Linked DNA regions of Elephas maximus indicus. Each later gene encodes a partner of the first gene's protein in a complex. Links are inferred from orthologs where the notes say so. Each region holds a gene or a part of one and is shown on either strand. Other genes may lie near its edges.

Evidence for each region. Proteins that work in one complex are often made in the same cells at the same time.
Region 2: the proteins of RPS6KA3 (region 1) and BMF are in contact, whole or in part, in a crystal structure (PDB 8R58), measured with the Homo sapiens proteins. The link is inferred for Elephas maximus indicus from reciprocal best matches to the Homo sapiens genes RPS6KA3 and BMF. Residues at the interface, in NP_004577.1 of Homo sapiens: Trp252, Phe259, Phe268, Leu281, Ala283, Lys284, Leu285, Gly286, Met287, Pro288, Leu299, Arg300, Phe303, Lys304, Arg305, Asn306, Asn309; in NP_001003940.1 of Homo sapiens: Glu8, Leu10, Glu11, Asp12, Asp13, Val14, Phe15, Gln16, Pro17.

Annotation. Positions count from the first base shown.
Region 1 is NC_064846.1:159,177,117-159,180,858, forward strand, and holds the start of RPS6KA3 (ribosomal protein S6 kinase alpha-3), read left to right. Parts: upstream 1-1,337; 5' UTR 1,338-1,598; coding exon 1,599-1,667; intron 1,668-3,742. UniProt on the Homo sapiens protein: Serine/threonine-protein kinase that acts downstream of ERK (MAPK1/ERK2 and MAPK3/ERK1) signaling and mediates mitogenic and stress-induced activation of the transcription factors CREB1, ETV1/ER81 and NR4A1/NUR77, regulates translation through RPS6 and EIF4B phosphorylation, and mediates cellular proliferation, survival, and differentiation by modulating mTOR signaling and repressing pro-apoptotic function of BAD and DAPK1.
Region 2 is NC_064828.1:15,928,360-15,932,101, forward strand, and holds the start of BMF (bcl-2-modifying factor), read left to right. Parts: upstream 1-1,024; 5' UTR 1,025-1,137; exon of another isoform or gene 1,138-1,506; 5' UTR 1,507-1,634; intron 1,635-3,688; 5' UTR 3,689-3,693; coding exon 3,694-3,742. UniProt on the Homo sapiens protein: May play a role in apoptosis. Isoform 1 seems to be the main initiator.

The DNA.
Region 1 (3,742 bases):
GGCGTGGGAGGCCCGGGACGCCTGGCCGCGGCCTGTGGGCACCAAGGGACTGGCCGGCCCATAGAGTTCCTTTGGCTTTCTTCTTCCCCCTTGCAGGGCGCTTGGCCAGTGGCTGCGGTAGCTTTCCACTCAGCTTGGCGACTTTTACATTTTCTGCCCGTGCAGGCACACTCAGCGCGCCAGTGCACCTGGCACGGTGGCCCGGGGTCAAACCTCGCCGGCTTCCGGGACCCACTGGAGACTCCCGCTCCCGAGCTCTCCTCGTCCCCCGGGACTCCGTCGCCGTCTCGGGGTGGGTTTCCTTAGATCTCCCATCCTGACCTGGAGAAGGAGTCAGAACCCCCTCGGCCCTCTCCTCCTCCGCCCACGGTCAACCTGACTTTTTAATATAATCTTTTATTTAAAGTCAACGGAGGAGCAGGAAACCCGCGCATCTGCCTACAAGATATTTTTTTAATAACTCCTCGACCTCTGCCGAGAGCAGCAGCCTTCAGTAACCTCCCTATGTATTCCTTCGCGAACATTCAGGCCGTAAGGAGTAGGGACTTTGGAGGTCAGGACCGAAGCCTGAGGGCAAGGCGGACGTGAGGAGGGGATGGGGCGGGGGGGGGGGACCGAAGCAAGACAATGCAACCCGAATATCAAACATTTAACACAAAAGCGTCAACTTAGAGAGCCTTGAATCCAACTGGGAGCCGAACCCCGGGGGCTCCCCGGCACCGAGCTTCCCAAGTCCCCATCTGGGGGTGGGGCAGGTGAATGCCCAGCCTGTGACCCTGGAAAGGGCGGGTCTTGGGCACTTACAGGACGTGCTCCCAGACCAGACGCGCCCACAGGCACCCCCGGAGACAGCTGGCCAAAAGGACACGCCAGGACACCCGGCCTGGGTCTGCGCCCCCCGGCCCCCACGCCTGACTGAGCTCCCTCCTCCGGGGGGGACCACTGCTCTCTATCTTTCCCTAGGAGTCTCCGACCTGCTCAGACCTGTGGTAGTTACAGGCTCCCAGCCGCCCGCCCCTCCTGCCTTTCCCCTCCTCTTTCCCTCGCCTCCCTTGGACGCCCCCAGATCTCTCGGACTCGCCCTTCCTGAAAGTAGGCGAGGCCCCGAAACAGGGGCTGGGAAGAAGGGAGGGAGCCGGGAGGCGGGCAGCGCGGCGGGCTACGGGCGTGGCCGCCTCAAGCCCCGCCCCGGGTGCGCGCGGCGGCGGCTAGCCTCGCTCTGAGAGACAGGTATCGCTTAGGCGCCATGTTGTGAGCGGAAGTGGGGAGCGCGCGGCGGCCGCTGTTCTGCTTGGAGCGGGCGCGGGAACGGGCGGGGGGGGGGGGCGGAGCTGTAGTCGCGGCGGCGGAAGGAGGAGAGGAAGAAAGGGGCGAGACCCCGTGCCCGGCGGCGGCGCGAGGCTCTACCTAAGCGCGCGGACGTCTTGGGCTGGGCGCGCGGTCCGGGAGACCAGTGTCGGTGCCGAGCCCTCTGCGGGGCCGCCACCGCCGTCGCTGCCGCTGCCGCTGCTGCTGCTGCTGCCGTGGGGCTCGGGCGGCGACGGAGCGGGGCGGGCGGGGCGGGAGGAGGCGGTGAAGGCGGCGGGCCGGGGGGGAAGATGCCGCTGGCGCAGCTGGCGGACCCGTGGCAGAAGATGGCTGTGGAGAGCCCGTCCGACAGCGCAGAGGTGAGTGCGGCGGGGCGGCCCGGCGGCGCGAGCCCCCACCCCTCGCCCGGCCGGCTCGCTCCTTCCCGGCGCCCGGCCACTCGGCTGCTTCCTCTCGGCTCGCGTCTCCCTCGGTCCGGGATTCCGGTTCGGGGACTTGGGGCTGGTTGGCTTGTCCGTCTCTGGCTGTTGCTCCCACCCGCACCGTCGCCTACCCTCGCTTCCTCGAGGGGCTCTTGGGGTGGCGGCGCGTGAGGTTTGGAGTGGGCGCTGGGGCTTCGCGAGGTGCCGATTGTCATCAAGTTTGCGTGGGGGACCCGGGAGGCGGAGCGGGGACCGGCGGGGAGTTGGGAACTTTGGCCCTGCCGGTCGGGGGCTTCCCTGGACCTGGGCGACTTTGCGGGGTGGCCGAAGGGTATGGATTAGGTTCCCCGAGAAGCAGGGGCTCTCGAGTGGGTTCGGGGTCGGGGGTTGCTACGGGAACACGGGCGCACGGAGGCAGGAAGGGCCTGGGACAGGGGTGGCGACGTGTAGGGCTTTCGGGTAAGGGGTGCTGGACAGCCTAGGGTTTTTGCTTCCTTCCATCTGCCGCAGCTGCTGCTGCAAAGGAGAAAGGGGGATCCTGAGGTGCCCCCCCATCCGCTTCTGAGGTCGCTGAGCTCGAGGACTCTGTCCCTGCGAGTTAAACTTGAGTTTCCTGCCCATAGAGGCGAGAAGGTGATAGTCAAGGAGATCAACGGCCGCCCTAAAGGCCTTTCTGGTTTTCCTACCCTGGGATCTGGTGACCGTCCCTGAGACACCCACCCGAGTACCTTGTGCGTGCCCTTTCCGGCCCGCAACAGGACCAAACAGAATTGCCCTGGCTACATCCCAGCCACCAGCTTTTCGCAGCCGATCCCAGCACGAACTCAGGGTTTGCGAAAATGACCCAGACAAGACCCATTCCAGGTTATTAGGGTGCATCTCCGGAGTGGAAGGAGCCCTGGTGGCGCAGTGGTTAAGCGCTCGGCTGCTAACCAAAAGGTCGGCGGTTGAAACCCACCAGCCGCTCCGCAGGAGAAAGATGTAGTAGTCTGCTTCCTTAAAGATTGTAGTTGTTGTTGTTAGGTACCGTGGAGTTGGTTCCGACTCATAGCGACCTTATGCACAGCAGAACGAAACACTGCTGGGTTGGAAACCCTGTGGGGCACTTCTACTCTGTTCTGCTCTGTCCTTTAGGGTCGCTATGAGTCAGAATCTACTAGATGGCAACGGTTTGGTTTGGTTTTGGTTTTCGGAGTGGAAAATCAGTTCCTGATGGTGGCGCGTCTGCCATTCTTCTTTCTTTACTTTTTGCTGTCTTCTTTCCCTACAGCGGACTTTGGGGGATTACAGGATGCTAGGCTGAGTGTGTGTAATAGTTACTGAGTGAGTGACCCCATTTCTGGAAAGCATGACTGAAACGCGGGGGTGGAACGGGACAGGCTCTGATGAGTGGTGTACTTGGCGGCAGCCGCTGGCCCTGCCGGCCTCCGCAGTGTGAGAGGTGGATAGGATTACTGGTTACGTCAGTGAGACCAAGGCTCTGTTTGATCTGAGATGCGGGACACTTGCATTCTCGGGTATAATGGAGGGGGAGGGGTTCAAATAGCTTTTCCGCTGTTTCCTGGTCACCTTCACTGCTGTATAAAATGTTTACTTGCTCTTTACAGCGCAAGCAGAGTTGTAATGGTACTTACGATTGGTGCTTAGTATTTTGCGACTCGGAACATACTTTTAAAACCTAAACGAAATGCTGCTCTTGAAAATAAATAAATAACGAAATCGTGTTTTTAAGACTGGCAGAATTACAGGAATTTCCCTTAAAATGATCGTGTTAGTCAGCCTAATGCTATAAATCTTCTGTAAGAAAGTCAAACTTAGAATTTTTTTATCATCCTTTGGATAGGGAGTGAGAAAAATAGTATGCCAGGGGGCGCTTTTCATTCATTTTTTTCTTTCCCTCAGAAGTCTTTTTCTTGCATTAAATAATATCACTAAAAGGTTAATAAAATATGTTCTCGAAGTGCTGAGCTTGTTGAAAGAAGTTGAATTTGCTTTGAGCCAAATTTTTAGAT
Region 2 (3,742 bases), on another chromosome or scaffold:
CGGGGATCCACCTTGCACCCACAGATCAACGTTGTCGAGTCTAAAAGCTTCCTGCCCCCTCCTACCTTGGTTTCTGGACATGACAATTTCCCAGCCCATTCCCCAGAAAGAAAAGTTGAAAGCACGGTTTTAAACCGGTTCTTTCCAGTTCAGTCCTGGCCACGGAAGAGAATTCAGAGCAAACCTGAATTTTTAAAATTTGGGTGAACTGGGTGGGGGGTGGGGTGGGAAAGGGAGGCGGGGAAGCCTTGTTAGAAACCTAATCACCCTCTTAGAAAACAAGGGCAGCAGTATGCATTGCATAGCAACCATCTCTCTCCAGATTTTGAGCAGAGTCGGGAAGAGCTGTGCCCCAATCAAATTTGGGGGCTGACTGTGCTGCTTTGAAGGTGTCGCCCTCCACAGTCCTGCCATAATTCAATCTCACCATCAGGCTCCTTAAATAGATCCCTACACCTCTTCTGAGTCTCCCATTCCAGGGCTTCCACTCTAATTTTTCCTTTTCTGGACCTCCCACATTGTAAATATTCGGGTCTGTTCCGCTTAGGCTTCCTTGTCCATTGCCGAACCGGTTCAAACCGGTTCAAAGCCCTGGACGAAAGTCACTTTGGTGCCCCAGCGTAATGGTTAAGAGCTATGGCTGACAACCAAAAGGTGGGCAGTTAGAATCCACCAGGCGCTTCTTGGAAACCCTGTGGGGCAGTTCTACTCTGTCCTGTATGTTCGCTAGGAGTCAGAATGGACTCGAAGGCAATGGGCAATACGTGCAGGGCTCTCTGGTTCTTCTGCTGCTTCTGAGCCCGCCTTAGAACTGAATCTGTTTGGAGGACGGCGCTCTAACTGCGCTTCTGGCGGAGGTCGGAATTTTGCTCGGCCCCTTGCAATGTTTCCAAGGGAAAGTTCGCACATTCGTGACCGTCCCTGGCAGCCGCCCAGCCCGGGACTTGGGGATTCACTCGCCATTGGCCAGCCCTCGGCGTGACGCCCCAGGGGGCGGAGCCTCATCAGCTGTTTGCAGGATGCCCCGAGCGGGGGTATTTTGGAAACAATACCGCACGGTGTTGAGTCTCGTCCACCAGCGCCCGCCAGCGCTTGCTGCCGCCGCCGTCCGTTCGCCGCGCCTGCCGCCGCTGCCCGGTGAGCGCCCGGGCGGCCGGGGGCTGGGCGGAGTTGGATCGCACCTCCTCGGGCAAGTGGGGAGCAAAGTCGCGCTGCGCGTGGGGGCCCGGGAAGAATTGGGCTGCGGGCGTTTGGGGTGACCATGAAGTACTGGGACGCTGGGGTACGGGAACGGGGTGCACAGCCCACATCTGGGTGCGCTGCCGCAAGAGGGAACTTGAGGGTAGCGTTTGGGATTCGGAGGAGTTGGGTCTTGGTGGGCAGGAGGGGGTGCACTGCTGAGCGGACCTGGGCGCCCAAGAACGGCCCATCCTCTGGGTCTGACTTTGGGGTAGAGCGGGAAGTTGTGGGCGTCCTGCGGAGCCTGAAGCCTCCTCTCCTTAACAGCTGAGCTTTTTCCCTCCTTCCCAATCGAATCTGGGCGCCAAGCCCCCGAGTGCTCGTCACGCTGGACCCTGGCGCGGAGCCCTGGCGTCACGACCCGGAGACTGACACTCTTTCCTGGAGTCACCCAGGTGTGTGTGTGTGTGTGTTCCCAGACTTTAGCCACAGTCAAGGACCAGTGTCTAGTCACTGCTCTCTCCTGGGAGGAGCCTAAGTTCAGCATCCCTGTTAGAGCCCTTAGAGGCTGTGATCCCTCGTGGTGGTGTCAGGAAGTGTCCCCCTCACACCGGTCAGGACATGGCTTCTTCAGCTCAGGGGAAGAGGCAGAAGGTCTCTTCTAAGCGCTATTCTGGCTTAAACTTGAATTTGCCCAGCATGCCTCGGGACCTTCTACCACAGGAGATCCACCTGCAGTACCTGGGGAGTGGAAGAGGTCCCTGGGGTTTACAGAGCCACACCTTCTGGCTGCACCTCCCCCACTCTCCAGCCCAGGCAAGGGTCTAACTTTGGGGCTTTGCCTGGGCGAGAGGTAGGTGACAGGCTTCAAAGGCAAAACCAGACAATGACTCCTGCTTGTGATTGCCCCTTGGAGGGCCCCCTCTTAGGTTGTAGCCATCACTCTGGGTTGAAGGGCAGGAGGGAAGCCCCTGCCAGGTGACTGGCAGGACAGCTCTTGGTCCATTCAACGGAAAACTTTGTTTCCTGGTGCTGATAAGCTGGAGTGCCCTCCCCTTTGGGAAACACTATCCTAAGATAGTGCCTGCTTTGCCATCCTGGCAGGCATCTCATTCTCCAGGGAGGAGGGTGGAGACAGGACCATAGGTAGCTCAGGGAGGGAGAGTTGAGGCAAGCACCCAAGAGAGAGTGTGTATTTGGGTGAACAAGGATTTCTGAATTACACTGAGATTCCTTCAAGTACTTCACCAACCCGCAAACCATTTGACTTGTTCTTCAAAGGCAAGAGACTGGGGGACAGAATCCCCAGAGATCTCTAATTGAGTCTGACAGTGACAAACTGTCTGTCCATATCTTTAACCACAGAGGTGGTTGATGCTCCTGGCCCCAGGGGCAAAGGGGTTCCTGGGGTGTGTGTGTGTGTGTGTACCGGGGCTGGGCTGGGAGCAGAAGATGCTGGGTGGCTCCAAGTGCAGACTTCCAAGAGCCATCAGGTGGAGCAAGAGGAACTTCTTTATCACCGAGAAACTCATATCAACAACTTGAATAGTACAGGCAGCTAGTGAGGTCACAAAGAGAGGGCCGAATTTCACTTCCTTCTGTGAGGCAGGTTGTACCAATCTCAGGTTCAGCGCTGCCAAGAATGGTAGGCTGTGGGGACAGGGATTTGCAGTCCGGGAGGCTAGTGCGTAGTCTGAGCTGGCTGGACACTTTCCCAGATACTGGACCTGCTCTCTTGGCCAGCCAGTGGTGGACAGACAGCTCTGCTGCCCTCCTGAGAGCTGCAGTGACTAACTTGGTGGGCCTTTTTCCCTTCCCTCTCCCAAGACATGCTTTTTACCACACCACTGAGCCGGTTTGTTGTGTTGAGTAAGTGGAGGGTGGAGGAGGGTGGAGAGTTGATGGCCAGCAGGGCGGGGCTTAGCAGGTTTGGAGGGAACCTGGCTGCAGAAGGATTGCAGGCTTTTGTTATTGCTCCTGCGCCTGGAGCTCCGCTCAGACTGAGCTGAAAGCTCGGTGGTTACCTTAGGACAGTGATTGTGTGTGTGTGTGTGTGTGTGTGTGTGTGTTGTGCGCACTGTGTGTACAGCCAGTCAGAAAGGTTGTAGCACCCTTCTGCCCTCCCCACCCCAGCGGCTCAGAGACTAGCCCTGTTTACATTTCCCCAGTTTACCCTATGTGCCCATAGCAGCTGATCTACCCCTGCCATGGCTCACAACCCTCTGAGTCCAGCTTCTTGACTGGCCTGGGTCAGAAGAAGAGGCCGAGGGGAAGGTGGCCCAGGGAAGGGGTGTGGAGAGTCCCTGAACTTGAAGCAGTCCACACTTTGGGGGTGGGTGTCACCCTTGGTGCTGCTTTACTGCCAGGATGGTGTGTCATCAGACCCTGGCCCAGCTCCCTCAAAGAAGGGGGGAGCAGGGAAGAAGGAAGGGAGGGGAGAGGAGAGGAGTCCTTTCAGGTATGGCCTGGGTGGGGCAGCATCCCAGATGCCTGCATTGCTCACTGACAGGGGAGATGGAGCCATCTCAGTGTGTGGAGGAGCTGGAGGATGATGTATTCCAAC